Linked DNA regions of Caenorhabditis elegans. The protein of the gene in region 1 purifies or fractionates together with the protein of each later gene. This does not show direct contact. Each region holds a gene or a part of one and is shown in the gene's direction. Other genes may lie near its edges. The genes, in order: cyc-1, cox-4, moma-1 and K02F3.2.

The links.
Region 2: the proteins of cyc-1 (region 1) and cox-4 fractionate together in Caenorhabditis elegans (co-fractionation; one large-scale study listed by BioGRID). This does not show direct contact.
Region 3: the proteins of cyc-1 (region 1) and moma-1 fractionate together in Caenorhabditis elegans (co-fractionation; one large-scale study listed by BioGRID). This does not show direct contact.
Region 4: the proteins of cyc-1 (region 1) and K02F3.2 fractionate together in Caenorhabditis elegans (co-fractionation; one large-scale study listed by BioGRID). This does not show direct contact.

The regions. Positions count from the first base shown.
Region 1 is NC_003279.8:8,020,187-8,027,491, reverse strand, and holds cyc-1 (Cytochrome c domain-containing protein), read left to right. Parts: upstream 1-3,069; 5' UTR 3,070-3,088; coding exon 3,089-3,118; intron 3,119-3,216; coding exon 3,217-3,371; intron 3,372-3,417; coding exon 3,418-3,517; intron 3,518-3,568; coding exon 3,569-3,817; intron 3,818-3,863; coding exon 3,864-4,058; intron 4,059-4,111; coding exon 4,112-4,240; 3' UTR 4,241-4,818; downstream 4,819-7,305. Other genes in the region: eif-2beta (Eukaryotic translation initiation factor 2 subunit 2), read left to right, coding at 1-30, 108-464, 512-702; C54G4.9 (RAP domain-containing protein), read left to right, coding at 973-1,283, 1,332-1,591, 1,641-2,023, 2,073-2,513; C54G4.7 (AB hydrolase-1 domain-containing protein), read right to left, coding at 5,015-5,762, 6,133-6,311, 6,361-6,448, 6,517-6,638; dod-18 (Nucleotide PPase), read left to right, coding at 6,625-6,690, 6,738-6,872, 7,092-7,195, 7,239-7,305.
Region 2 is NC_003279.8:13,655,788-13,662,328, reverse strand, and holds cox-4 (Cytochrome c oxidase subunit 4), read left to right. Parts: upstream 1-3,200; 5' UTR 3,201-3,217; coding exon 3,218-3,349; intron 3,350-3,400; coding exon 3,401-3,530; intron 3,531-3,581; coding exon 3,582-3,847; 3' UTR 3,848-4,158; downstream 4,159-6,541. Other genes in the region: W09C5.12 (Leucine Rich repeat-containing domain protein), read left to right, coding at 27-170, 214-456; sac-2 (SAC domain-containing protein), read right to left, coding at 4,190-4,480, 4,527-5,091, 5,770-6,149.
Region 3 is NC_003281.10:850,831-855,999, reverse strand, and holds moma-1 (MICOS complex subunit MIC27), read left to right. Parts: upstream 1-3,603; coding exon 3,604-3,870; intron 3,871-4,166; coding exon 4,167-4,455; intron 4,456-4,504; coding exon 4,505-4,554; 3' UTR 4,555-4,669; downstream 4,670-5,169. Other genes in the region: tag-51 (uncharacterized protein), read right to left, coding at 1-36, 590-1,216, 1,267-1,570, 1,617-1,761; rnp-5 (RRM domain-containing protein), read left to right, coding at 2,092-2,174, 2,222-2,863, 2,916-3,060. UniProt on the Caenorhabditis elegans protein: Sustains mitochondrial morphology probably through maintaining cristae morphology. May act as a component of the MICOS complex, a large protein complex of the mitochondria.
Region 4 is NC_003281.10:840,688-851,844, forward strand, and holds K02F3.2 (putative calcium-binding mitochondrial carrier K02F3.2), read left to right. Parts: upstream 1-5,173; coding exon 5,174-5,315; intron 5,316-5,371; coding exon 5,372-5,768; intron 5,769-6,357; coding exon 6,358-6,583; intron 6,584-7,003; coding exon 7,004-7,027; intron 7,028-7,653; coding exon 7,654-7,815; intron 7,816-8,031; coding exon 8,032-8,202; intron 8,203-8,275; coding exon 8,276-8,729; intron 8,730-8,963; coding exon 8,964-9,227; intron 9,228-9,278; coding exon 9,279-9,589; 3' UTR 9,590-10,657; downstream 10,658-11,157. Other genes in the region: K02F3.9 (DUF148 domain-containing protein), read right to left, coding at 1-32, 305-467, 514-636; far-8 (Fatty Acid/Retinol binding protein), read left to right, coding at 2,264-2,423, 2,473-2,714, 2,757-3,053; moma-1 (MICOS complex subunit MIC27), read right to left, coding at 10,759-10,808, 10,858-11,146. UniProt on the Caenorhabditis elegans protein: Mitochondrial and calcium-binding carrier that catalyzes the calcium-dependent exchange of cytoplasmic glutamate with mitochondrial aspartate across the mitochondrial inner membrane.

The DNA.
Region 1 (7,305 bases):
AAGTAGTTGAAGAGAAAGTTCCAACTCTCGGTAATATATTTTATTACAAAGTTATAAAACTATAATTTTGCACAATACTCTTTCAAAATAAATAATTATGAATTCAGAAATCGGAATTGGAGCTCAAAACTTGATCGATGCAAAAGGGGCATGGCCAGATTACACATACGAAGAAGCTCTCACTCTTGTCTATCAGGTTATGAAAGACAAAAATCCAGACTTTGCTGGAGACAAGAAGAAGTTCGCCATCAAGCTCCCAGAAGTTGCAAGAGCTGGATCAAAGAAGACTGCTTTCTCCAACTTCCTCGAAATTTGCCGGCTTATGAAAAGACAAGACAAACACGTGCTCCAATTTTTGCTCGCGGAATTGGGAACGACTGGATCCATCGACGGAAGTAACTGTTTGATTGTGAAAGGAAGATGGCAACAGAAACAATTTGAAAGTGTCCTCCGGAAATATATCAGTAAAAAATAGAAATTTCCCAAAAATTGTATATTTTCTGTATTTCAGAGGAGTACGTAATGTGCCATACTTGCAAGTCGCCAGAAACACAGCTCACCAAGGATACTCGTCTCTTCTTCCTCCAATGTACTAACTGTGGTTCCAGATGCTCTGTTACAGCAATCAAGAGTGGATTCAAGGCTGTCGTAGGAAAGCGTGCCGCAATTCGCCGAGCCGAAGAAGCTACAGCTGGAAAGTAATATTTTCTAAACTTTACTCGGTTGTTATCCGGCTTTTTATGGGTTGGTACTTCTTTCCATTTTTCCGAAATTCTTGTTTTGCTTTCTCTTTTCCTTGTTTTCCCCGTATTTATTTTTATCCAGTTTCATTTCCTTTCTCATTCGATTCGTGTTTTGAGAATAAATTCGGCATAGTAAGTGTTTCAAATTTATTGAATGATTTGTTCTCACCTTTTTAGGTATTTTCCATGTTCAAGTTTAGTCAAAGGATCCCCAATATTTCAGCACCATATGACTAACCTTATGAGTGCATTGTCAAAACTTTCACAGGCTTTGGATTCCAAAAATATTGGAGAAGTTCTTCTCGCTCTTCAGAATTTCGATGAAGAATTCAGCGCTGAAAAATGTGAAGATGTCTTCGTTAGATGCTTACAAGAAATTATTTCATGGGACTTGACGGTTTCTCTAGAAATATCTGAAACGGTAGTTCGACAAATGATGAATCGATTGGAAAATCAAGCGGTGTTGGAAGAAATGTGTAACTATATAATCAAACAACAATCATCTGTCACTGTGGAAATTGCAGTGGAGATAATGATAGAGTAGGTTTTATTTTATTCAGCTTTTGTTCACTTTTTTTACTATTACAGGCACGGCTGGATTTTAAGAACAGATGATTGTAGAGAAGTCTGGAAACAAATCGAGTCTGCGAAAAATACTGAAAAAATCGAAATTCTCGCAAGAAGAATGACTGCAAATTGTAGAATTCTGAGGTTATCTGGAGCTCCGAAAAGATTTCTTGAAAAATTACTCAAGGATGTTATAATATCGCTCAATGCAAATAAGGTCAACATTCCCATGAAATTTCTAAATGAGCTCGCTATTGTTTCTCCCTTTCATCCTATCCTCGGTAAGAGCAGTTGTAGAATTAAATTTCAATTGAAAAATGCGTATTTCAGTGATCGAAGATTTCAAGAAGGACTCCGAATATTTTTATATTCCACACGTTGTTTCAGAAGAGACCCGATTCCATTTGGAAGTGAAAGAGTTCACAAATTTCTTTCAAATTGAATCAACTTATCACAAAGAACAAGCATGTCAGATGCTTCAAGTGTTTAATCAGATTTACAAACGAATGGAGCTTATCCCTCAATTGGAAGCTCCCGAAATTGATAAAATTGTAGAATTTTGGCTTGCTGCTCTTCGAATATTCAATGGATATGGAATTGGGATGAACGACATAACAGAATCAGCCAAGCTTTTAGAGAAAACAGCTTCTAGATATTCTCTCAAAAGCAGACCTCTGTTTCTGAAGCATTTTCTTAAAAAAATTTCCGAAAAGGTTTGATTTCTGTTGGTGTATTTTTAAAGATTAAAAATTTCTCATTCAGAAAGATACAAATATTGGTTTGGAACCGCAAGTTGTTGCAACCATCATCACAACTTACCAGCGAAATGCATTCGGCCTCAGGTCACCTGAATTTTATGAAGAACTTGGTGAATTTTGGGCACTGTGTTTGAAGATTAAATACGATGACGTTTATTTTGCAACTGTCTACTTCTCTGCTGTGTTCGCACTAGCTCAGGCACAAGCAGTTTTCAAAATTAAAAAAGAGCTCTGTCGTGAAGTTTACCATAAGATTCTTCAACCGATGCACGAGCAGCTTGTCGACTTTGTCAAGCTGAAACAAGTTGAATCCAATAAAGCTACGAGTGAGGAAGAAGTAATGCGCCTGGAGCACCAAAATATCGGCGCAAGCTACTTTTCCATTTTGACATGCACCTACAAAAATGCTGAGGATCGGATTTTGGAGTTTATGAAAGAAAATTAGCCGACGAGTATTTTTGAAACATACTTTCCTTATTTTTTCAATTGGTCTTTCATTTGAATATCTATTTTCTTTGATAAATTAATAAAAAAACTTCTCTTCGCTCTTTTTTTTTATTCCAAAAAGCTGTAATTAAGTTATTTTCAGGAAAGAAAAATTATCTTTAAACTGTTTTTGAGCTTTCTTTTATTCTACGATAAGGTTGCAGACATCGTTATAAAAGTGGATACGCAGGTCTCACAAGAAGTGCGCCAGCACCAGGCGGGCACATTTCTCGATGCTGGCGCGTTTCTAGATGACCGTGCTGTACAAGATTTTCTTTTTCTTTAATTTTTCAGTTGTTTTTTGTTAATTTATTCAATTTCCGGGTTCATTCACGTCAGAATAATTTTACTGGATAGATTTCCAATTCGGATAAATTGAACCTTCAATTTTTAAGCAATTCCGTTGCTGGAGTTGATTTAAATTAGGAAATTGATGAATAAAATTTATGCAATGTTCACACGTTCAATTCTTTTTTAAAACAAATTTAGTGAAATAAATTAAACGAATTTTATAGGTAATCGACGTGGTACGTAATGCAGCGTGCCGTGGTTCAAGGATCTAAAGTAAGTTTTATGTCCTTTCTATTCAAAAACTCCAATTATTATTAGAAGACAATAATTTATGTTGAAATAAACAGTGAATTAATTATCGTATTTTTCAGCGTGGATTGGCGGCCCTTGCCGGAGTCACAGCCGCTTCAGGCATGGGACTCGTTTACGCTTTGGAGAACTCGGTCAGCGCTAGCGGAGACAACGTTCACCCGTACGCTTTACCATGGGCTCACAGCGGACCGTTCTCTTCATTCGACATTGCTTCGTAGGTTCAATTGAGTTTGGATAATGATAAATCGTTCATGTTTCAGTGTACGACGTGGATACGAAGTATACAAGCAAGTGTGCGCAGCTTGCCACTCGATGAAATTCTTGCATTACCGTCATTTCGTTGACACAATCATGACTGAGGTAATTTGAATAAAATAATAACTTCATGCTAATCACGACTTTTTTTTAAAGGAAGAAGCTAAAGCCGAGGCCGCTGACGCTCTTATTAATGATGTTGACGATAAGGGAGCATCCATTCAGCGCCCAGGAATGCTGACCGATAAGTTGCCAAACCCATATCCAAACAAGAAGGCCGCAGCGGCTGCCAACAACGGAGCTGCTCCACCAGATTTGTCATTGATGGCTCTTGCTAGACACGGAGGAGATGATTACGTTTTCTCTCTTCTTACTGGATATCTTGAGGCTCCAGCTGGAGTGAAGGTATTTCGTGCACACAATTGAAAGGAATTAGTGAAACATTTTTCAGGTTGATGACGGAAAAGCTTACAATCCATACTTCCCAGGAGGTATCATCTCTATGCCACAACAATTGTTCGACGAAGGAATTGAGTACAAGGACGGAACACCAGCAACAATGTCTCAACAAGCTAAGGATGTTTCTGCATTCATGCACTGGGCCGCAGAGCCATTCCATGACACCAGAAAGAAGTGGGCTCTTAAGGTAATTCATTTTAGAAAATATTATATACAAGTGAATAAACTTTAATAATTTAGATCGCTGCTCTGATTCCATTTGTGGCTGTTGTGCTGATCTACGGAAAGAGACATATCTGGTCATTCACGAAGTCGCAGAAATTCTTGTTCAAGACGGTCAAGGGAAGAGAGCCACCAAAGGCTCAGTAATCACCAGCTTTCCGCTATTTTTTCATTATCCTCTTCATTCGTCCGCAATTTCCATCAGCGATCATTTGCTCGCAATTTCATAAAATATTGTGAGATTAATCGTTTGTAAATTTAATGAAATTGCGAGTATTTGTAACCCTCCTCTCCTAGTTCATTTTTTCACAGCCTCCATCCCCTCAAAAAAAAAGAACGCGCTCTCCCTCGATCCGACCGTCGTAGTCACCAAAATTTTCAAATTGGGGACGACGTCGGGAGCCGTTTAGAAAAATTTAGTTGTCGCCGTTGTTTGTTAATTGTGAAAATAAAATGGAGAGTTTAGTATGAGTATTTTTCCATTTTCTGAGAGTTTTTGCTGTATTCGAAATAGTCAGACTCCTTTTTAAACTAAAAAGCTCACGAACTTTTTCGATGCATCATTACTTTCTCGAATATTTTTTTTATATAGGAAATCTCTTATCCGTTTTTTTTTCTCTGTAACCACGTTTTTATACCTTCTTTTCTTTTCCAATAAACCAAATAATGGTAAAACGTCGACATTTATTTTTAGTGTGGAGACGAATAAAGTTTTAAATTATAAATCGCATATGGAGATCATGTTTGTAGAATTTGGTTGAAAAATGTTCATTACCGACATAGTTCTATTTTATGAAAAGGCACACTGAGAAAGAGAAACCGGTAATGTCAAAATAGAGACAATCTCAAATTTGGCTATGGGAGTTCTAGTATCACAAGAAGAAACGGAAAATCAAAATTCTAGTAAAAATGCAAATTATTTTAAATTGTTTTCTGCTGTTGCCGTCTGAGCAATTCGGTTATTCTTCGACGCCAAAGATCATGTTTCGATAGATATGCTGTAACATGTCCATATCCTTCCATCATTTCAACAGTTACATTAGGCCATAATTGTTGATATGTTGGTGTCCCTTGATTTCGCAGTACATATTGATCCTGATCAGCCAAGAATACATGGCATAGTGATGTGTCTATTGGTGTTGGATAGAATTCAAGACTTGTGAAGTCATCCATCAAAATTCTCATCATATTCTTGGCTTCTGAATCACCGTTTCTCGCAGTCATCTCTCGCATTTTATCCAGCCAATTTTGATTCGGAATTCTTCGGATTTTATCAACATAGTGAGGATCTTCGAGCTGTTTCTGCAGTAAAGAATAATTAACAGCTGGAGAAATAGCTCCTTCCGTATATGATGGTGATGCTGTCGTCCATGCAAGAATAGGAACTATTGATATTGGACGTTGCGAATTTGATCCAGCAAGTTGAGCCATAAATCCACCCATCGAGACACCAGAAATTGCAAATGGACCATATCCAAGTGTCTCAGACCAATTGAAAAGATGATTACATTCTGCAATTAAAGCGGCACCCATCACAAAAAGATCCGTCACATTTTCAAGAGAAGAACGGAATTGATTCGGTGGTTTTCGATCTCCATAAAATGGATTTTGAATTAAAATAGATCCCACACCATCCTTAAGCATGTCATCAACAAGAAGATAGTGACGTCTGAAATAATAGTGATCTATGATACCAGTTTTGATTTTTTTGCATTTTTTCGAAATTTTTGTGGTCTCTGATAAGAATCATTATTCGATTTATGCATCTATGTAAGATGCGATACTTTTTATCTCAGTTTTTGAGTTTTTTTCTCTTTTTAGATTAAATATGTATTATTCAGACGCAAACTTTTTCGATCTTTGTGACAAAAATACGGTATCCGGTCTCGACACGATGAATTTTGTTAAATGCAAAAAGGTGTGCGCCTTTAAAGGAAACTGTAAGTTAAAAACTCTGCAGCGAGTTTTAAAGTACAAAAAAATTTGTCGTGCCGAGACCAGGTACCGTATTTTTTAAAATAAATTTTCAATTTTCTTACCTAAAATAAGAGTGATCTCCGGTGCCTGCCAAATGTATGCATACGGGGCCTGGTTTCTGAGGAAGATATGCTCTGAAATGTGCTCGACCGACGTTTCCTGGCATATGATTGGGAAAGAGAGTGGCATGAGGACTTGCGAAAAATCCCTCGTATGAAGTTACGCCATTTTTTGAATATTTCTGAGAATTATTTATTATTGAAAAATGTTTTTGAGAAATTAAAATTTACCTTCACAATGTCGATTTTGGGATTAAGTTCTTTCACATAATCCATCACAAGCCTCTTTGACATGACATCTCTGCGATATTTTGCCATTCTAAAATAATAATAACAATAATTAATTATCTATTAGTTTCTCAATTTCTCAATTAAAACAAAACGTACTGTTTAATTACATCCGGATGTCCCCAACTTTTTGTGAATAATTGACTGAGCACAAGAGCCGATCGAAATTTCAGATCCACGTGTTTCGCCCACGACGGCAAGTTCGGAATGAAAGAAGCCATTATTGTATTGGCAAGTCAGTCACCAAATCGACTCAAATTGTTGCAGCAAATTGTGAGAAAATGAGAATCTACAAAAAGAAAGATTTATTTCGGTTTCAGGGATTGGAAAATGTAATCGTAAAAGTTTCAAATTTCGAGGAAAATCTACCAAAAACATTGCCAGTTAAGCAGTTTGTCATTGAAACAGCTAAAGGAAAATTGACGACTATTGTGGAAGAAATGAAAAGAAAAGAGGTATAGTTATTTTTTCAGTAACTTGAGAATATAGTTATTAGTTGAAAAACAAATCGGAATTCAACAAAAAAAATACGGCAACATTTCTCGACGCGACCTAAAACTTTTTGCGCAAAATTTCAGAGTGCTGCAGCATATCGAGACCTGCTACCATATTTTTAAAATCTAAAATTGAAATTATAAAAACTGAGATATTATATTAATATATGAATTATTAAGGAGCCGTACTCTGTTATTATTGCGTGTGATACAGTAATCGAATTCAATGGAGAAATTATTGGAAAACCAACAGATGCCAATGACGCTAAAGAAACTTTGAAAAGGTAATTAAATTTTCAACATCATAATTGTATAAATTAATTTCAGACTTCGTAACAATACTCATAATGTATATACTGGAATGGCTCTACACTATCATGAAACTGATCAATAT
Region 2 (6,541 bases), 5.6 Mb from region 1:
TTTTAGAGACCACGTCAGTCCTTCTGATGGAGTCGATTCTCGATCGTTACTTAGAGCAAAAAAAGCTCTACGAACAAAATGGGTTCAACTTCGAAAATGTCGAAGACCTGGTTATTCGGAATGCTGTATCTGGCAACATACAAGACTTACCCGGTCATCCAAACATCACAGTGAGTTGTCTAGGCACCGTTAAATCAAACATGGTATTTTTAGTCACTGGAAATTTCGAACGTCAAAATCGCAACATTCCGAGGAATGAATGTTTTTGAGCGTGTTCAAGTTCTCGATGCTTCCTCAAACAATCTTAGAGAAGCGGATTTTGAGCAACTTAGGACCAGCTGCCCATCGTTGACGACATTGACACTGAACTACAATCCACTCAATCGATCGAATCATTCCCCTCCGAGAGTTCCCCAATCTGGCTTCTTTGACAATCCATTGCACACTTATCGATGATAGGACTCCACAGGAAAATGCAGCCCGAGTATTTCAAGTACTGCTGCAGCCCAATCTCGAGGTTAACGAGTTCCGTAGAGCCGACGTTGAAGCCGAGATCTTGATTCTCAATCGAGATGAGCCTCGTGGGCCTGATGGGATGCGTATTGGACGCGGAGGACGCGGTGGACGCGGAGATCGGGGCGGATATTTTCAAGAGTAGAAGCTCGATTAATTTGCCCCTCTTAAAATTATCATTTTTTCATTCCTCGTTTTTTTAATTGTATAATCTTAAATTTTTCCGATCTTCAGATCTCCCACATCAATTGATTTCACAATTTTCTCGTTGTATAGTAAAAGATTTCAATATCTACTTCAACTGCTTCAAAATTCGAATAGAGGAACACTTCTTCGATTTTTTATCCGTTGGATTGTAGTATTACTCGATATCCGCACGTTTCATCAAAATTTCGAGTCTGACGAAGATCTGAATTAGTACACTGCAACTTTTTCCTCACGAGGGACGAGGAAAAGTTTTTTCCCGTTTTTTCTTATTAAAACTGATAAATAAATACTTTTTGCAGATGCTAAAACAATTTCCAAGTAAAAAAATTATGTTTTCAGTCGGCAAGCAGCGTGAAAGTGGTCAATGCAATATGATGGATTACGGGAATACAAAACCCAAACTTTTTCCCAAACATGATACATATGATGCTTAGATGCTGACATTACCTGATTTTCATAACGAGACCGCTGAAAAAGTTTTGAGGTTTCCAAAATTCAACTTTTTGTGCGAAAATCTCGACTTTTTCAGCGGTCTCGTTATGAAAATCAGGTAGTCTCAGCATTTAAGCAGCATATGTATCATGTTTCAGAAAAAGTTTAGGTTTTGTATTCCCGTAATCCATCATATTACAATGCCCACTTTCACCGCTGCTTGCCCACTGAATACATGATTTTTTTACTTGGAAATTGTTTTAGCATCTGCAAAAAATATTTATTTATCAGTTTTATTAAGAAAAAACGGGAAAAAGCTGTGAAAAACGAAAGAAAACACGCGGAAAAAAAGCAAGATAAATGGCCGCTGAAACTTGTCGGCCCCTCGGCCATGGCCTAGAAACCACTTTTCCTCGTCCCTCGTGAGGAAAAAGTTGCAGTGTTGGGGTAAAAAACTACGCTGAGCTCGATTTTCAGCTTTTTTGGGGTCTAAAAGCTGCTCTAAAAGCCTAAAAGCCTTAGTTTTAGCTAAAAATCCCAAATATTGTACCTTCAGAGCCCACAACATAATCCATATTCTCAGGATTCCGTCCACATTGCCCAAAATTATTATCACCAATCGCAAAAACGCCCAAATTGGTTCGAATCAGCGAGTGCGCTCTACCGGACGAAATCTCGAGAATTTCGTCGCCGGGAATATTGATTTTCTTTGCGGATATATAATAATCCTGATATTTGTTGATATTCGTCAATTGGCCACCGATCTGGAAGCTAAATTCGTGATTTTTGAGGGTTTTTTGGTATTTTTTACAATTATTAGGGAAAAAAAATCAATAAAAACAGCTGTTTTTTTTTTGATTTTTCGCTGAAAAATCGATTTTTTAGAGCACTTTTTCGTAAAAAAATGGCTTTTTTTTGGCGAAAAACATGAAATTTCTCAAATTTTTCAGAAAAATTGTTTAAAATAGGTAGATTTTTAAATTTTGAGAATTTTCTGTGAGAAATTAGAAAAAAAGGGTTTTGGGAAGAAATTATCGAATTTTCGTTGTTTTTTCTCGGAAAAGTCGGGATTTTTGAGGATTTTCAGTGAAAAACTGCTAAAAATCTGCTTTTTGAAGCTTTTTGGCAACGTTTTATCGATTTTTCGGAAAAATAATGAGAAACCCCCTAATTTTTGTATTTTTATTCAATTTTTCAATGAAAAATCGTATTTTTTCCAATTTTTTTGGGAAAACTCATTTAAAAACGCAATAAAACTGATTTTTTCGATTTTTTTCCAGTTTCTTGAGTTTTTTAATCGATTTTTCAGATTCTTCCGCTCATCTTGACAAATTTAAAGCCCTTTTTCAGAAAAATCCAGCGTTTTTCAGAGTTTTTGGGCCAAAATCGCCAATTTATCGATTTTTCCAGAGAATTTCCTGCGAAAATCCCACCGATTATTAATTCCAGCACCGTAGAGGCGATTTTTCGACGCAAAAAGCGAAAATCCAAAGCCTGAGCTTATAAATTTTTTTATAAAAAGTTTTTCTCAATTTTTCACCCAAAAGATTCAAAAAGCAAGAGCGCTCTATTGGACTCAATTGGCTGCGTACTTGAACGCGTGTAAAACGTTGATTACTCAGTCAACACGATTTACGGAGTGAACAGCCCGCAACGGCGAGCCGTTGTTACATTGCCAATTTATTGATTTTTCTGGAGATTTTGCCAAGTTTTATGCAAAAATTAAAAGGAACCACATATTTCCATCGTTTGTTCGTATTCCGGCTAGTTTAATCCTTAAAACACGAAGAGAGAACGGTTTTTGATTATTAATATATTGCACCCGTGTGTTCTGTTGTTTGTTCGTTTCTGACTAAAACTATCCTCTTCCACGTTTCCATCGGTGTTTTCCGTCGGCCACTTTAGAAATTACTTTAGAAATTCATTTTTATTATGAAAATAGTTCATTTGAGTATGTTTTTTTCATTTCTCCACACTGACGCCGGATTTACCTTTTGTTTTTTGGTTTTTCCTGCATTTTCAACCCATAAACCAGTTATTTATTTCAGGTATGTTGGCTCGTCAAATGATGCTGCCACGTTTGGCTCTCCGCGCAGTGCACACCACCGCCCGTCTGTCCGGAGGACAGGAATTCTACTGGGGACCCGATAAGGCCGCTGGACGCGAGCTCGTCGGATACGGAGCAAATGGAGATAACGTACGCCTTGTTTATTTTATAAATTTTAAATTTAATTAATTTATTTTTCAGATCTACCAAGATCGTCTCGACTACTGGTATCCAGCTATTCGATTCCGCAAGGAGGACAGTGTGATTGCCCCAATTCGCGCCAAGGAGCAAGCCGACTGGAAGAACTTGTCTGCTGAGGAGAAGAAGCTCTGTTAGTATTCAATTTTCCTCGACAAACTTGAAAATGTTGCTAAGTTTTCAGTGTACCGCTACAGCTTCCGTCAAACGCTGTCCGAATTCGAGGCTCCAACCGGATACTGGAAGGTGATCTCCGCCGTTATCCTCTCCGTGCTCGGACTTTGCACCTATTATGCTGTTCTTCTCAACGTCTGCGTGTACCCAGAACTGCCGCCAACCTTCCAGAACGAGTACAAGGAGGCTCAGGTTGAGCGTGCGCTTGTGCTCGAGAAGGGACAATTCCTCGGTGCACCGACACACTACGATTACGAGAACAAGAAGTGGAAGTAAAATATAGAGATTCAGCAGAAATAAAATAAAATTTTTTTGTAGCTTCTTTCTCGTTTTTATAATTCTCTCTTGGTTGTCGTCGCTCCCCCCGCCCCATCACTCTCTCGTCAAACATTCAAGCTTACCTTCTTCTTCATCGCCCCAACCCTCATCTGAAACCTAGATAAGCTGTAAATCTCTCCTAGCGGTCGAACGCACTGACCAATTCTTTCGTCTCCCCCAATTTTTTCTTCAAATTTTCCAAGTGGTTCGGCTTCTTGAGAGATGGGCTGCCCTGTAAACCAGAAATAAATAGATTGAATGTTGCTGTTAAATCCAGGAGGCAATAATTTATTTATTTCTTTACAAAAGTGAAATTTTAGTTTGACACTCGGAGATAGCGGGTAGTAGCGAGGAAAATGGTTCGGGTTGGGGAGAATCTGATTTAAATTGTGACATTTTCAGGATTTTCGTCATTAAGTGATCCGATTTTTGCGATGCGTCCGATTCGTTTCCATCGGTTTCTGGAAGTTGAGCAGTTGAAATTGTGGAAGCACTTTTCGATAGACTGGATGGCTTCCCAACTCGCTTGATCTTCCCGAACAGTGCACCCATCGCAGCCATCGATTTTCTATGAACCGACATTTGAGGGATCTGAAACTTCTAATTCTAGATTTTGAAAATCTCAAGCCACCCAAACCGTAATCTTTGCCACCGGAACAACTGAACCTTCAGCGCCAGTCAGCATATTCCTGCCAACCTGAATCTGCTCAGCGACCGACGAAATATACTCATTGGCTTCTTCCAAGGATTTCAGACGGATTGCAGTATTATTAAATAACCGAACAGTAGATGGCCTCCAAATGAATACACCTTCGAGAGTTTCCAGTCGAGCACATTGTCGATTATTTCCAGATGTTCCTGTTTGAATAGTATTGATATCTTCCAGCGCAACGATTTGCACATCAGTCATCTTTTCTCCATCGATTTCATAGGTTACAATATACAAATTGGAGCGGGTTAATATGACGACTGTGTCGATTTCATCGCTACTTTGGAATGCGTTAATCAATCCCCAGCCAGCGATGACAGTTTGCTGGGTTGGAACCAGGAATTGTATGGTTTCAGTCACCATTCGACTGATATTCTCTTCTTCTTCCTTCTCATTTTCCTCTTCTTCTGCATTTTCGTCGGCTTCCGTTTGTCCTGTCACTATATTGATGGCTTTTTGGCGTTGAGCATCTTTGGTGTGTGTTAGGTAGTATCTGAAAACGGAAAATTGTGTAGTTTGTAGTGTGAGAATGTTTTTGAATTAGAAAAAATGTATTGAAAATGAACATTTGAGGCGGAAATTGACATTCGGTTGAGGATGAGAGACTACAAACTACAAAATTTGGGTGAGGCTACAAGATTCTGTAGTTTGTAGTGTGAATTTTGTGCTTTTTTATTTTCTTGAATTGTAAAAAAGTGTATTGAAAATGAACATTTGAGGCGGAAATTGATATTTGGTTGAGGCAGAGACTTGGTTGAGGCTACGAGATTCTGTAGTTTGTAGTGTGAGCCTCAACCAATATTCCTAGTGATTTTCTGGTGTTTTTAACTCGGAAAACTATTTAATGCTTATTTTTTTAGGGCAGAAATACTTTTTTTAGTTTAAAGTTTCAGGTTTTTAGAACAAAAATCGATTTTTCCAGCCAAATTTGTTATTTTTTCTTTCAAAAATACTCGATTCAAGGAAAAAAATGTGATTTTTTACCGAAAAATTCGAAAAAAATAACTTATGATCAACTTTGGTGAGGCTCACAAAGAGTGTAGTTTGTAGTGTTAGCCTCACCCAAAACTAATTTTCTGGTTGAGGCTGTCAGAATTCTGTAGTTTGTAGTGTGAGCCTCAACCAAGTCGATTTTAATCGAATTTTCGCCATTTTTTCTAGCTTCCCGTACCTCGATGCACTATTATATCCATCTTTCATGACCCCCATCAGCTTCCGCTCTCCATTCCTCGTCACATCTCCCTTCAGCGCGGCGGTTCCGGCGTATTGCGTCGATATCACATCTCCATTATCAGCCCACATCGTTTGCATCGTCTGTACGAGCACTTCGGGCGGTTCGCACAGCGGTCCGAAGATTCCGAGGCGTTGAGCCTGCTGTAACACTACAAACAGGGAGATTTGGCCCTGAACAAGATTCGTTCGGTCCAGACAGTCGATACAGTTGGTTCGGACGACGCCTTTTTGGGATTGAACCACTTCTCCGGTTTTGTCGACCCAGCAGAAGCCAATGGTTTTCAGTGTTTCTTCCATTGAGGAGATAAGCGTTTGGAGCTGGAATTTGGAACGTTTTTTAGAAAAAAAATGTTTTAAAAATTAACATTTGAGGCGGAAATTGACATTTGGTTGAGGCTGAGAGACTACAAACTACAAAATTTGGGTGAGGCTACAAGATTCTGTAGTTTGTAGTGTGAGCCTCAACCAATATGAAAACTATTTAATACTCATTTTTCTCGGGCAGAAATACTTTTTTTTGTCTAAAAATACGACTTACTGTTTCAAAGTGACTCTAGAAAGTTAGCAATCTTGAAGAAATTTTGAAAGTTTCAGGTTTTTAGAACAAAAATCGATTTTTGGGGAGAAAATTTGGGTGAGGCTACAAGATTCTGTAGTTTGTAGTGTGAGCCTCAACCAATATTTTCAGTGATTTTCGGAAGTTTTTAACT
Region 3 (5,169 bases), on another chromosome or scaffold:
GGGTGACGGGTTATTGTATCCATGATGGTTTTACTTCTAAAACAGTTAATATTATTATTATTGATTTCTCTGAGGTTTGGCTCATTTTCAGCTAATGTTGTTGTTTTTTTAACGAAGAATTTGCTATTTAAGTATTCGAGTTGGGTCTACTAAATATTTAGCATACCCAACTTTGGTCTGCTAAATATTTAGGATACCTAACTTTGGTGTGTTAAATATATAGCATACCTAATTTTGGTCTGCTAAATATTTAGCATACCCAACTTTGGTCTGCTAAACATATAGCATACCTAACTGTGGTCTGCTAAATATTTATCATACCTAACTTTGGCCTGCTAAATATTTAGCATACCCAACTTTGGTCTACTAAATATTTAGCATACCTAACTTTGGTCTGCTAAATATTTATCATACCTAACTTTGGTCTAAATGTTTAGCTGACCAAAGCAGACAGACTGTCTCGATTTATTGAAGGAGAAAACGAAAAGAGAGGTAAATTTGCTGTTTATTGAGCGAAAAATTTGGATCTGCCAAGCATTCGTTTTGGGCCTGCTAAATATGAAACTCTGGAATCCAGCGGAAAACTGACAAGTCTTCATGCTGATCACACTGGTTGCGAATTTTACACGCAAGTTCCACAGCTGTCACACATCCAGCTCCAATATCATCTGACTTGGATTCCTCTTCTAATCGCTGAGCAGTCACCAAGAATCCTTGTGCATTTCCATTACTCCTATCGTACTTGGAAATCATTTTCCAAAATTGAAAAATTCGTTTTCCACGTGGATTTGTCGCTTGTGGAGTAAAAATTGAATAGAATTCTTCCATTTCTTCCTGGGAGCTGGACCAGTTGAATGCAATAGCCACATTGAGTGCTTCGTTTAGAAAATAAAAACCGTCTCCTTTGACGTGAAGAGCGCGCATTTGAAGAGTATTCGCATGGGCGAGTTGTACAATTTGTTCATTTTGAAGTGGAAATGTCCAGTTTTCTAGAACCGTCTGAAGTGCGAAGCTGCTAGCTTCTGGTGCTTGAATAAACGAATCTCGCTCTTGAAATATATTCTTAATGTGCTCCGTCAGAAGGTCATGCCGTTTTTTTGCACTATATCGAAAATTTCGCAGGTGTCGATGATTTGAGAGAAGATTTTCGAGTCCTTCGCGGTATCCAATGAGGAACAGGTGAAAACAACCAAGGCGCTCTTGATTCACAGTTTTTCTGAAAGAAATTTCCATTGAAAAGATAAAATTTTAAAAAAAATCACTCACTGGACGACTTCATTTGCGAATTTCCTCTGTCCTACAGTGGCGAGCGATGTGCTGGCATACTGAGCAAGATTCAGATGTCTTGTAACTTCTGATAAATTGTTCAATACTGATGGAAGATTTCCGGCTTGTCCCACATCTCTCGAAGCCGCAATTGCTGCGACACGAAGCGGCCCATCCGTCTGGCTCAACTCAAATCCTTGATGAAGAAGTACTCGAGCGTACTTCTCGACGATTCGAGAACAATATCCACGTTTTCCAGAAAGTGGAGTGATGAATTCGTCAAGAAGCCTAAACCATCTTGGTTCTGCAAAAGAATTTAGTGCTAAAATACTTTTTTGGGAAAAAATTACCTTTTGTTTCAAATGCTTCCATCCATCGAAACTGAATTTCACGCTGATCAGCGTTATTATCGAAATTTTGGAATTCTGCAGAGTCGATATATTTGATTTCTGGGAGCTCTTCTTCTTCTAAAAGTTCAGATTCTGCAGAGTCCATTTTGAAATTGAAAAAAAAAACGAAAGTGTTTTGTTTTGCAACGACACTCCGATATTCCACCGCGCGCGTTGTTTACCGTAAATCATTCACCCGCGTCTCTTCGAAAAATGATTCGATATTTTCAATTCTATAGTTTTTCTATAGGTTTTTTCTTGTTTTTCAATTAAAAATTTATTTGAAAATCCGTAATTCTTGTTTTTGGTTAATTATTTACTCAAAAAAGTAAGCGCTTTAGCCAACATTCTGTCTCTTCTTCTGCTCGAACACCACGCGGTGAAAATTTTCTTACTTAGTTGATGTCTATTCGAGTATATGAAATAATTTTTCAGTATGGTTGAGAAAGAAGAAACCAAAAAGAGGGCTCGCTCGTCTTCAAGCAGCTCGTCCAGTAGCTCTGGATCGTCATCTTCTGGGTATGCTTTACAATTTTCATACAATAGCTTAATAATCGATATTTCAGAAGTAGTTCATCAGGATCTCGCTCCTCCAGCTCATCGTCCAGTGGCCGTTCTCGTTCTCGCTCACCACGTCGTCGTGATACCCGCCCACCAGCTCGTGGAGGACGCTCTCGTTCTCCAATCCGTCGTGGTTCACCGCCAAGAGGAGCACGCGCGGATCGCGATCGCCCAATGCGACCATCACCATCACCACCACGTCGCCGTCGTCCATCCCCATCGCCACCACGTCGTGATCGTCGTGACAGAAGCGGGAGCCGTCAGAGGAGACGCGCTTCTCCGAGGAGAAGCCCAGCAGCAAGATCAGCCAGTCCGGCCAAGCGTGTAGTGATCAAAAATTTGAGCAGAAATGTTCTGAAAACGCACCTCGAGGAGATTTTCTCGATCTACGGAGCCATCAAGAATGTCGATCTTCCACCAGATCGCTTCCATAACCATGTTCATCGTGGATATGGATACGTTGAATATGACAATTTGGAAGACGCCGAAAAGTCGATCAAGCACATGGATGGAGGACAAATCGATGGAATGGCTGTTCACGTCGAAATGACTATCGGACGACAATCTGTCCCATTCCAGCGTAGAAGTTCTCCATTTAGAAGACGCTCGCCGCCACCAAGAGACAGAATGTCACCAATGAGAAGAGGGTAAGTAATCAAGGAAAAGTAGTATATTTTGATAATTTTCATCAAATTCCAGAGGCCGCAGTCCACCACCACATCGCAGACGTTCTCCAATGGGCGGCCGTGGCTCAGGAGCCAACAATATGCCACTTGGAGGGCCCAACAGATTCCGCCGTGCCAGCCGCTCTCGTTCTCCAGCCGGCAGAAGATCGCGTTCTTAAACTTCCATTACTGACGTTCCATTTTAAAACCCCATTCTAAACTGTCCAAATTCTGAACATCCTTTGTTTATTATTCTTCTGTTTTGTTATGCAAAAGATCTCCCCAATTTTCGTTTTTTTAATAAATTATTTTGGGTGTTTTAAGGGTAATTTGGATTGGTTAAAGACATGGTTAATTGCCTGTTAATTATCTATTTTAATTTTAAAACCGTCCTCAGAGGGGTTTAAATGTTAGAAAATATTTAAAAAAAAAACAAGAAAGCCTGGCGCGAAATATATAGTAGCGCAGGCGTCGGTGTCGATTTATGAAAAAGTGGTAATTAAATACAAAGAAAATCAATTTTAAATAATTGTTTAAAGGCGCATCGTGAATAAACACAAACTCCGTAAATCGACACAGAGCCTGCGCTACGAGATATTTTGCGCCACAAATGTAGGAATACTTATTTCTTCATGGTTTTTTAATAATTATAATAAGCTAATCAATTTTAAAATATTTATTCTTGTTTTATTATTTTATTGTTTTACCGCTTGATTTTCCAGATGACACAAGACAAGCCGATTGTGGAGACAATTTCAAACGCCGGTGAACAAGTGACAAATGTTTTTGGACAATTCTGGCAACTTGTCACCTCGAAAAACACGACGAATAATGGAGATTCAAAACCTATTAAGATTGAGCAACTTCCGATTTATGCTGAAGATAATGCTCCACTGAAGCAGAAATTCCTTCCAGAAGAGCCACTTCCTCTTCAAAGAGAATTCGCGACTATTCGTATCGCATGTGAGCAGGAGTATGATCGTGTTGCTGTGAGTTTTACGCGATTTTATGTGGAGAAAAAATTATATTTCGTTTTTAATTGGTTTTTTTTTAAAAGAAGAGTTTGGATTATTTTATTTAGCTAATTTTTTGTATTTAAGTAATTATTTGATATCTGTAGTTTTTTCAAGTGAAAACCGAATGTGTTTCACAAAAGAAAAAAATACATTGAAAATATCCATTTTCGAGAGGAAATTGAAAATTTTTAATATCATTAAATTGAGTAAAAGTAAAAATTAAACTAATTTTGTGAAAAATATATTTTTATCACCGATTTTTGTTTCAGGAACGCTTCAAAGTTGTCGATTGTGCGATGACTCAAACAAAAAAAGCGGCGACCAAATGCAATGCATATCTGACAGAAGAATGGACTGCTCTTCCAAAAGCCGCAGCAATCACCGTTGGTGGAATGGCCGGATTCGTTTTAGGCCTGAAACGTGGCCCGGTCGGACGTCTCCTCACCACTACCATCGGCTTGGCCACGATGGCCGCCTTTTGTTATCCGATAGAGGCTGTTGACGTGGCAAAGACCGGAAGAGCTCATGCTGAACAAACTTGGTATTCCTTCCAAGAATGTAGGCTTGAAATTTCTGAAAATCAGAGAGAAATAAATAAAATTTTCAGCTCCAACTCCATCTGCCATCGTCAAAACTAACTTGAGCCCACCGAAATAATTGGAAAATAATTGTTTGTGTGTAAAAAATATCCACTCGAATGTCTAGCGGTTTCTTTTTTTGTGTGTGCGCCGAACCCAGTGTTCCTGTAGTAGTGAAATAAAAATGCGATTTTTATGCAAAATTTGAAGAAAAAAAAACTGAGAAAAACAGAAAGGGAGGCACTTTTTGGACAAATTAAGAAAATAAATCTTATGTATATAATATATATATAGAACGGGCGAGGGTGGGGAAGGGAGAGAAAGTCACCCGCAAAAATTTAATCTAGGGGATGGTGAGAAGAGAGGCGCGGCACATTTTTTTGTTGATAAAATTGGAAAATTTATATTGGAACACAGAAATATTTTTACTTTTTTTTTAGGAACTTTTCACTTTCAATCAAAATCAAAATAATTTAAATTTCCAATAAAAACTTCGTCTAAACAACGAAAAAAGAAAAATTTTGTAAATTTTCCGAAAGTTTCAAAAAAGGTGCAGCACATCTCTGGTGAGAAGGCGAGAGGGCAGCGGGGGATCAGCATTATGGGTGGGCATTTTAATTTCAAGAAAATTTTGAATTTTCAGTGGGTGTAAATGTATGGCTATAAATGATTTTAATGTGGCTCGTACATATTT
Region 4 (11,157 bases), on another chromosome or scaffold:
TGCGCTACTTGGGTCAATGTTGTATTTTTTTGCTGAAAATGCTGGAATTGTAGGCCAATAATAGATTAAATATGATTTTAGTGATTTTTCTGTGCAGTGATGTTCCGAAGTTATTAGTTTGTCAGTTCTGGCAACAACAAGCCAATACTTTCACCGTAATTTTCAAGTCAGAACCGTGTTGAAAGTTCCTTCAAAATAGTTTTAAAAAAAGACCGTCTACTATCATAGAGTTTAATAGGAAATTGACTAATTTCAGGATTAGCGTATTTTGCACTATTTCGCACGAAAATTTTTTTTAACTCACCAGCTGCATCAAAAAGTTTCGTCGCCTTTGGTACGTGCTGTGTCATATCATTTTTCACTTTGTCATCCAACTTTGTATACTTATCCAAGAAACTACGGAAGAACGCTTGGGCTGCCAGGTTTTCTGGCTTCAATGATGGAACTCCCATAACTTGCTTTGTCATCTTAAACGTTACAGTGTAATTGTACCATTTTTCCAAATTCACTCACATCGAAAAAGAACTTTTTGCTTTTTCCACTGAGCGCACTAACGTCAAGACCATTTTCAGATGCAACGTCCTGAATACAAAAGAATAAAAGAAACACTAGAAGAATCTTGTTAGAGGAAGTCATTTTTCGTATTTTTCGAAAATGTTCCGTCTAAAATGAAAAGGTCTCGTGTTGCTGGTGTTGGTTGGCATCTCGATCTTCTATCAGGCGTCTCTGTCATTTATGTACTATATCACTTTACAGCATTGAAAAAATAAGATATTTAGAAAAGAGGGAGAAAAAACAACAAAAAGTGAGGGAAACTAGTGAAATTTGTTTTCAGGTGGAATGGTAGCTACCTAGGTTAAGAGATTTATTGAGAGATATGGAACATAATATCAATTTATATTTTTTTTTTTAAAGGGGTATCTTTGAACCCTTTCGGTAAAAGTTACAACAAAAAAGATCAAATCGTTCTTACTTTGATGTGTTTTGAGTATGAAACAATAAATTCCCATTTGGAAGTTTTTGTGTTCAATTAAAATCGGATTATCTCCATTGTTTCTTCTACTCAATCCATGCATGTCAAAACGGTAAATTTTAGTAAACATAGATCAGAACTGGGGAAGACTAAAATGGAAAACCACCCGGCTAAAGCTACACTTTCTCAAAAGTTATGAAAATTTCCAAGATATAGTCGTTTGCAAAATACATTAACTTTGTATATAGTTGGTTGATTGGGATCTTACGTTCGCAAGTTTAAACTAGCAAGGGAAGTATTTAAACTTTATCTTGGACCTTTGGATGGAACCTATGTCATTTGAAAGAAGACCTTCTAAATAGACCCCGGCAACAATTTTTGCGACAGAGAAGCACTGCGAGCAAATGAGCAGGAGTATGGAACAAAGTCGATCTGAAATTGCTATCAGTACACTTTTCACTATTTTAGAGCCTTGTAAACTTGCTCCAAATTATAATTTTTGAAAATTTTTATGGTTTTCAGACTATTTCAAAGAAGACAAGTATTCTGGAAGCTTTTTGGGATTTTTTTTGGAAAAAATCTGAAAAATTCCTTCTCAGATTTTTTTAAAACAGTTTTACAGGCCTGGAAAGTTTTGAAAAATTTACTGAAAAATTTTCAGAGTAATAAGTGTGGTAATGGACTTTCGATTTGTATTATAATTCGAACGTTATTGTACAGAAATCGATTAAACATCTTTGAAATTCCACCTACAAAAATCTAAAGACCAAGGTGCTCGTTGAACTAGAAACCCCTTTTTATTGATTTTTTCTTCTCAATAAATGAATAAAATAATGAAATAATGAATAAAATAATGAATATATAACCCCGATGTTCTGAAAATGTTTCAAGACATTTTTCATATTTTTCATCACAGCATTGAAATATTACAGATTTCTAGTGTAAAATCATTTTTAAGATTTTTTATAAACATTGGAAAAAATTCTGTCATTCAATTACCATTATACAGTTCTTCAGTAAGATGCTCATGTGATTTCAAATTTCAATGTTTGACCGATTAATCTGCTCATTGGTTATCACTGGTGAAACTTCAACTAACTAGTAGTGCCAAACGAAAAGTAAATCCCTCCCTGAGTTCGACGAAATCTCCCTCCACCCTCTTTTGGTTTCATTATCCGCCTACAGTTCTGCCATCCACCTATAAAAGGTGAGGTCAATCAAATTTTACACTCACAACTTTGAATTTATTCTCGTTTTCAAATTTTGTTTTTTTCAGTAATTATCAAAAAGATGTTTACCTTACGGGCATGCTCCTTAATTCTTGTGTCAGTGGCTGTGTTCGTTTTGGGTCGCCCCGCTGAAGAACAAATGACCGAGAAGGATTTTACAAACTTGGTGTTCACTGTGGAGAAGTTTGATCAAATTTTGAAGGCCTATTCTGAATACAAACGTGAGTACTTGTATTTTCAAGTTGAAACTAGTTGTATTGTTTTTTGAAGAATTCATGCCTTCTTACGTTCTGGAACCACTTGATAACATCACCGACGAACAGAAAACTCAGGCAGTTCAGATGGTGAATGACTATCACGCAGGCAAGTTTGAGCCGAAGAACTACGATGAGTACATCGCAATCATGAAGAAGAGCTATCCAGCATTGGCAGGTCCATATGAGACAATGTACAACAAGTACAAAGAACAGGTTGCCAAATTGGGACCAAAGGGACAAGAATATTGCAATGGGGTGAGTTTACATTAATTATTCATAAAAATTCAAATCCTACAGCTCGAAGCTCAAATGTACACCGATGCCTCCCCTGACCGTGTTGTCTGGGCTTGCCATATCTTCAACAATGCCAAGTCCGCAGTTAGTGGAGCAAAAGCTCTTCTTCAGGATGATTCGGAAGCGGCAAAGATTGAAGAAGCATTCCCAGAGGCTGTGAAACTTCTTAATAGCAAAAAATTTGAAGCCTACTCGATTATCGTTAACAACCTGAAACCATTGGATTGCGTCAAGGATCGTGAGCAAGTCTTCAATACTATCAAATTGATGGATAAGCAAAGTGTGCTCACCAATAATTGATAATTTTCTTTTTCGACTCCATATCATTGAATAGTTCAAAAACATAAATCTATTTGATTTGTACATTAAGTTTTTTGAGGTCTATTGAACAACCGTCGAACTATTATATTTATACAGGGAGATCATTCTCATTCTTCTTCTCCATATCACAGCTCGACCAGAAAAAAACCATGTTATGATTCATTTTCTAAAATAAACTTCTATAGGTAGGCACATTTTCAGGATTTTGTACTAGGATCCCATCTGCCTGCCTACCTTAAGTCTTTCACAGTGAATACCATTGAAAATTTCTGCTCAACAGTCTGGAGTAAAATTTGCGAAGTTTTATTAAAATGCAAATATGCTCGTTTACTTCAAACCTCCCTATCAGACTCCTCTTGCAACTTGCCAAGTTTCTTGATTTCGTCTTCCTCATGTTGACCACGCTAAAAACACGCGCGGCACTCGTTCGTTCGTTGATGGGAAGAAGGCTGCTGTGTTGAGGCTGGGGGGAGACGAGAGACCATAACCAACATAGATTACGCAGACGACACAGAGTGTGGGCAGTCCGGGGGGCATGTCATCGCAAAACTGCCTGGCCTTTAAGTGAGTGTTTCCTTTTTACGAAGGTTCGGCTTTATAGCAAATCCATTCAAATCCAGAATCTCTCAAGTTTTTAATTAGCTCATCAAAATTACAAAAACTTTGGCCTAGAGTACTTTCAAATTTATCTACGTGATAAACCTCAAGTCTGGGAGGTCGCCAAGTTCCTTGTCTTGGCAAAAAAAACCTGTGAATCAACTTTTCCTGTTGTCGTGTATTCCACGTTGATTTTTTTCCTCTTTGTCCTCTATATCTCCTCCCAATTCTTGGCTTTCCTCCTATGTACTTCGGAAATAGATGTCCACCGCCGCCTCTCCCTCCCCAAAAAAAAGATGAGCTTGAGAAGAGTGAAAACGAGAGAAATATCTTTTCTCACGCAGGGAGCATCAGAGCATAGCAGCAGTTGACGGGAGCCTTTATGTTTTCTATTCCCTTTCTTCATTTTTTTCTTACATTCCAGTTGGTAAATATTGGGTGGAGGTAGGAGAGGGAGAAAGGTAGAGACAGAATGAGATAACAGACTATTCGGTTTACTTATGTTACTTTGTGGCCTAGTTTTGGTGTAGTATTATTATTTTCTTGCAATTAGGGATTTTGCTTTGTTGGAATTTTTGCAACTTCTTGAGTAGTGGGGCCCTTAAGGTTTCAGATAGTACTCAAGTTGTTGATGGAAAATAACAGAAAATTCAAGGAATTTTTGTCCAACTAAGGATCTCGATGGCACCTCAGCATGTGCACTATTTTTCCACAGTGTATGTGTGTGTGTGTAATATAACAAGTCAAAGATCCTATCTCGTTTTCCCTGACAGTTTGGCCTCCTTAGAGTTTACATCTACATCCCTGGTCGGGTGAGAAATCTAAATTTGGGTGAAATTATACCCTTCCGTCCAACTAAACTCCTTGTACACCTTTTTTTATCAAGGTGTAGTCATTTACACCAGACTACACTACGTTCTTCCCTCCCCAGTTCTTGATTACTCGTATTTTGTGTTTCTAGATATTTTTGGCAATTTAAGTTTGGACCAGGGGTGTGCGGCAATCGAAAATTTCCAGCAATCGGCAATTTCGACATTTGCCGGTTGTCAAAATTTTCGGCAATCGGCAATTTCGGCAACTACCGATCTTGGGAATTTTCGGCAATCGGCAATTTCGGCAATTGCCGGTTTTCAAAATTTCAAGGAAGCGAAGTATCTCTGATATCATTTGTCTGAGTAACATTGAGATCATGGGGATCAAATTTTGTTTCACGCACGTTTTCATTCTCTGTGTCTGTCAACATTATTGTACTAGAGAACGCTCAGCACACGATTTTATCACATTTTTCATCTTATCGCATGTTGTTTCCCTGGTTATCATCTGATTTAGGCAAAATAGTTCAATATCTAAATTTAAGCTTCGCGCTAAAAATTATTGTCAATAGAGCGCGTTTGCAGCTAGCCATATTTGTCTCTTTTATTTTATATTAATTTACATGCGAAATTCTCGTTGATTTCCTTGATTTCCTTGAAATCATTTTTTTAGTTTTCAGGCCCTCGTGAATGTCTTTCGATCATCTGTTGACGTCATCAAAACGACGAGAACTCCTACAAAACTTGGGAATCGGACACGGAAGCGATGTGTTCTCCACGGGACTGTTCCGTAAAGCAGAATGCAATGCAGAAACTGCAATTAGTCAAAGATGTAAATATTTAATTTTACAATTAATAAATTATATTTAAGTTATTTATTTTTTTCAGCCATTCCACGAGCGAATCCAGACCATCTTCGTCCGATTTTCGATCGATTCGCGACTAAAGAAATAAAAGGGAAGAAGTTGATGACCCCAGAGGATTTCATTCGAGGATACTTAGGTCTTTACACGGAAGAAAACTATAATAAGGAGACTGTTCGTCTTCTTGCTTCCGCCGCAGACACTACAAAAGATGGAGACATCTCATTCGAAGAGTTCTGCGCTTTTGAAGCTCTCTTGTGCAGCCCGGATGCTCTTTATCTCACCGCTTTCGAACTTTTCGATCGAAACGCTTCGGATACCATTAGCTGTGATGAGTTTGAAGCTGTGATTCGGCATACTCAGCCTTTGCATGATCAGGACTTTGATTTTAGTTCGGAATTCATCAAGAGATATTTTGGAGCGTAAGTTTTTGAGAAATCTCACTGAAAAATATTTATTCAGATTTTCAAATTTTAAATTGCAGCGAAAAAAATATAATTCACTATAAAAATCGATAAAATCAAAATTTTAATTTTAAAAAAAGTTTTTTGGGTTCTTAATTTTTTTGAAAGAACATTTTCAAAATTTTTCAAAATTTTTTTCCTTTTTTTGAACGAAGAACTGAACATTTTTGATTTTCTCTTCAAATGGTGGTGTACTGAAAGCTGAGAAAAATTATTACATGACTATTAAATGGCAAATCTTCCCCTGATCCGAATATCTAAGTGAAAAAATTCAAAAAAAAAACCTCTCTGGCGCGTAAATTCGGCGTTTGAAAAATACCATGGGTGCAAAAATGAAATTCGCGATTTCAAGCAAAAATATAAAATAAGGGAAATTTTTTGAATTTTTTCACTTTGACATTCGGAGTCGGGAGAAAATTTGGAGTTATTTAAAAATATTTCTCAGAATTCGGTACTCCACCTTTAAACTTTTCCCGGTTGGTAAATATATTTTTTTAACTCGAAAACTGCTCCATATTTCCACATATAAAAATTTTAATTATTTCAGTGACAAACAACGAAACGTGAATTATCATTCATTCTGTCAACTTCTTCATGATTTCTACGAAGAACAGGGTATCCAGGCATTCAAAAGATACGATAAAAATGGAAATGGAACCATCTCATCACTGGATTTCCAACAAATAATGACTACTGTCAAAGGACACTTGCTCACGGATTTCGTTCGGCATAACCTCATTGCGGTGTCTGGCGGCGGCGCCAGTGGACACAAGGTGAGAAAAAAACATCTGAATTTAAATTAATTTTGCTTGAAAATTTTCGGAAAAAGTTGGAAATTCTGAAGTATATTCAAAAATGGAAATTGAATTTTGTCATAAATGAAAACGTCGGTCTTTTCAAAAATGACTGGAAACTGATTTTCGAAAAATTCGAAAAATATCAATAAATAAGATATTCTAGATTTCCGAGTGTTTCCCATAATTTTAAAGTAAAATCCTCATTGTTTCTCTGATTTTTGCTCTGGTTTTTAATTATTATTTTACTAATTCTGATTTTCTTTTTTTTTTGAAATAGAATTCCTTAGTATTGGAAGTGAGTTTTCCAAATGTTGTATAGTGGAGTGATATAGCATGTTCATTCGTAGATTCCCAAGTTTTCTAATTTTTTTTGGAAGTGGTTTCCTTCTTTTTCAGTTTTCCGACACTCGAGGTGGATTTGTAAGTTTTCTTTTCTGTCATTTTTTGGGTGTCCTTTGTTTTGGTTTCGTGATTTGTAGGTAGGCCAAACGAAAAATCAGCATGCTATAAAAATTCTTAGTCGATATTGTGTAAGTAATAATTAAACCGCTTAGAAACCATAAATAGAAATGCAACAAAGTACAAACAATTTCGAACAATTTTTTATATTCGGATTTTTAGAAATGTGGTCGAGACAAAATTATTTAAATAAAAAGAGTTAAAAAATATTTTTTTTGCTTTCATTCTTTTTTCAAAATTTCAAAGAAAAAAGCTAAACTCACTTTAGCTATAATCTCAAAACTTTTCAACTTGTTCTAGTGGTCGGAAAATGATTTTTTAAACTACTTAAGAATTTCGCATGTGTTGGTCGATTCGATCTTCGAAAGGTTTTCAGTCGATATACACCCGTTCGGTAACTTGTTGGCTGAAGTTTTTGCGAGCAAGAAAACACACGAGATTCTATGATATTCGGGCTGATTTTTGCATGATTTCTTAAGTTTCCTATGTTCAATGTATGTTTCTTCGTTCTGTCCTGCACCATGTCTTCCTCAAGAAGCCAATACCTCTCCAGAATCTCGATTCAATAAAAACGTTTCAATTTCCAGGTGACCTTCCCTTACTATGCTGCTTTCAACAGTCTTCTCGCCAAAATGGAACTTATCAAGCGTGTCTACGTATCGACGACACGTGGAAATTTGGACATTGAGATGACGAAAGAAGAGTTTCTGCATGCAATTCAAAGTTATACACAAGTTACTCCTTATGAAGTAAGCAGGAAATTCAGATATTCCCAAAAAACCAAAAATTGATTGAAATACGGAATCATCTTTATAAGCAAGGATGTCATTTTTATATTTTCGATGTTTTTCAGGAAAGATCGGAAAATCTAAAATTTTTAGATTTTCTGAAACAATCAAAAAATATAATAAAAATAAAGTTATTTTTAAAGTAATTTTTTAAAATGATTTTTCAATTTTTTCCAGGTCGAAATCCTGTTCCACTTGTCAGAGTTGAATCATCCAGGACGGAAGACGCTCTGTCTAAAGGACATTCAGGCAATTGATCCTGAACGTCTGAAGCGTGTTTCACAAATGGATCGACTTATCAACATCAAAGCTGTGCACCATAAAGATGACAGAGGTGTTGGAACTGCGGTAAGAATTTTTTGGCGCCGGAAATTTGTTTACAACTACCTATATTTAAATTCCTAAAAATTTCATATTGCAGTTCCTCGAATCCGCGTACCGTTTCTTATTAGGATCAGTAGCCGGAGCATGTGGAGCGACTGCAGTGTATCCGATTGATCTTGTGAAGACACGAATGCAAAATCAACGTACATCTGGCTCATTCGTCGGAGAAGTAATGTATAAAAACTCTCTGGATTGCTTCAAGAAAGTCGTGAAGTTCGAAGGACTCTTGGGTCTTTATCGTGGACTTTTGCCTCAAATTGTTGGTGTTGCACCAGAAAAAGCTATCAAATTGACAATGAACGATTATATGAGAGATAAATTCACTAAAGACGGAAAAATTCCACTTTATGGAGAAATTATCGCCGGAGGAACCGGAGGAATGTGCCAAGTTGTGTTCACAAATCCCCTGGAAATTGTTAAAATTCGATTACAAACTGCCGGAGAAGTACAACAAGCGGGAAAGAAGATCGGAGTATTCACGGTTCTTAAAGGTGCAGCATGGTGCATTCTCTGACGCACCACGTTTTCGAGATCTAGTTGCAAACAAAATCTACGAAAAGAAGATCTACCAAAACAAAATCTACGTTTTCGGGATCTGGCGGTGCCAAATCCTAGATCTTCTTTTCGAAGATCTCGTTTTCGACTAGATTTTTAAAACGTGGTGCCTTTTCTTCTGGCAATAAAGACACACAAGAAATCGCATAATACTCAAACTTTTAATTCAGAACTCGGTTTCCTTGGACTCTACAAAGGATCCCGTGCGTGCTTCCTTCGGGATATTCCGTTCTCAGCAATCTATTTCCCGGCATACGCTCACGCAAAACTCGCATCTGCTGATGAAGATGGAATGAACTCACCGGGAACACTTTTTGCTTCCGCGTTTATTGCTGGAGTGCCTGCCGCTGGTTTAGTAACACCTGCCGATGTTATCAAGACTAGGCTTCAAGTAGCTGCACGAGCTGGACAGACGACGTATAATGGAGTCATTGGTACAGTTTTTGCCTAGTTTCTTAGTTACTTACTCTGACAAAAAATTACAGATTGCGCTCGGAAGCTGATCAAAGAAGAGGGTCCAATGTCACTATGGAAGGGTACAGCTGCACGTGTGTGCCGTTCAAGTCCTCAATTCGCAGTTACTCTTCTCACTTACGAGGTTCTCCAGCGCCTCTTCTACGTCGATTTCGCCGGATCCCGGCCGACTGGTTCCGAGCTTGCGACGACGAAGACAATTCAAGACGAGTCGTCAACGAATCCGGATCACGTTGGTGGATACAAGCTGGCGGCAGCTACATTCTCCGGAATCGAACACAAGTTCGGATTGTTCTTGCCAAAGTTCGAAACGAGCAAGTAGAGAGTCCTATATATTCCCCGTAGTCAGTGTGTGTTGTTTTAGGTAAAGTGTTCGATCCTAGTCTTATTTTTGAACTTCTTCTGTATTTTACCTGTACTATGCTGATCAGGGATGAGTATTTTAATTTCACGAAATTTTGAATTTTCAGTATCTGAAAATGTATCGTTAAAAAATTATTTTAATGTGGCTTATACATATTTTGGCGGCGCTCTCATTATAGACATTCGAAAAATATTGAATTTCAGAGGTTTTACGCATCATTTTATGGCCCGATTTTCTGGAATTTAAAATCACGAAATTTCTTGAAAATTGGCTCAAAAAATTATGTGTAAAACCTCTGAAATTCAATATTTTTTAAGGTACTAGTCCTAAATCACCCAGCCACTTTTTCAAATAAAAACGTGTGGAGTTTTTGTATTTTTAGGCTTAGGAAATAACCATTTCTAAGCCTAAAGATGGAAAATGGACATCACGTTTTATTAAAATGGATAATATTAAAATGAGGGGAAATAATACACAAATCGAAAAAAAAGTGGCGGGGTGATTATATGCCAAAATATGTACGAGCCACATTAAAATCATTTATAGCCATACATTTACACCCACTGAAAATTCAAAATTTTCTTGAAATTAAAATGCCCACCCATAATGCTGATCCCCCGCTGCCCTCTCGCCTTCTCACCAGAGATGTGCTGCACCTTTTTTGAAACTTTCGGAAAATTTACAAAATTTTTCTTTTTTCGTTGTTTAGACGAAGTTTTTATTGGAAATTTAAATTATTTTGATTTTGATTGAAAGTGAAAAGTTCCTAAAAAAAAAGTAAAAATATTTCTGTGTTCCAATATAAATTTTCCAATTTTATCAACAAAAAAATGTGCCGCGCCTCTCTTCTCACCATCCCCTAGATTAAATTTTTGCGGGTGACTTTCTCTCCCTTCCCCACCCTCGCCCGTTCTATATATATATTATATACATAAGATTTATTTTCTTAATTTGTCCAAAAAGTGCCTCCCTTTCTGTTTTTCTCAGTTTTTTTTTCTTCAAATTTTGCATAAAAATCGCATTTTTATTTCACTACTACAGGAACACTGGGTTCGGCGCACACACAAAAAAAGAAACCGCTAGACATTCGAGTGGATATTTTTTACACACAAACAATTATTTTCCAATTATTTCGGTGGGCTCAAGTTAGTTTTGACGATGGCAGATGGAGTTGGAGCTGAAAATTTTATTTATTTCTCTCTGATTTTCAGAAATTTCAAGCCTACATTCTTGGAAGGAATACCAAGTTTGTTCAGCATGAGCTCTTCCGGTCTTTGCCACGTCAACAGCCTCTATCGGATAACAAAAGGCGGCCATCGTGGCCAAGCCGATGGTAGTGGTGAGGAGACGTCCGACCGGGCCACGTTTCAGGCCTAAAACGAATCCGGCCATTCCACCAACGGTGATTGCTGCGGCTTTTGGAAGAGCAGTCCATTCTTCTGTCAGATATGCATTGCATTTGGTCGCCGCTTTTTTTGTTTGAGTCATCGCACAATCGACAACTTTGAAGCGTTCCTGAAACAAAA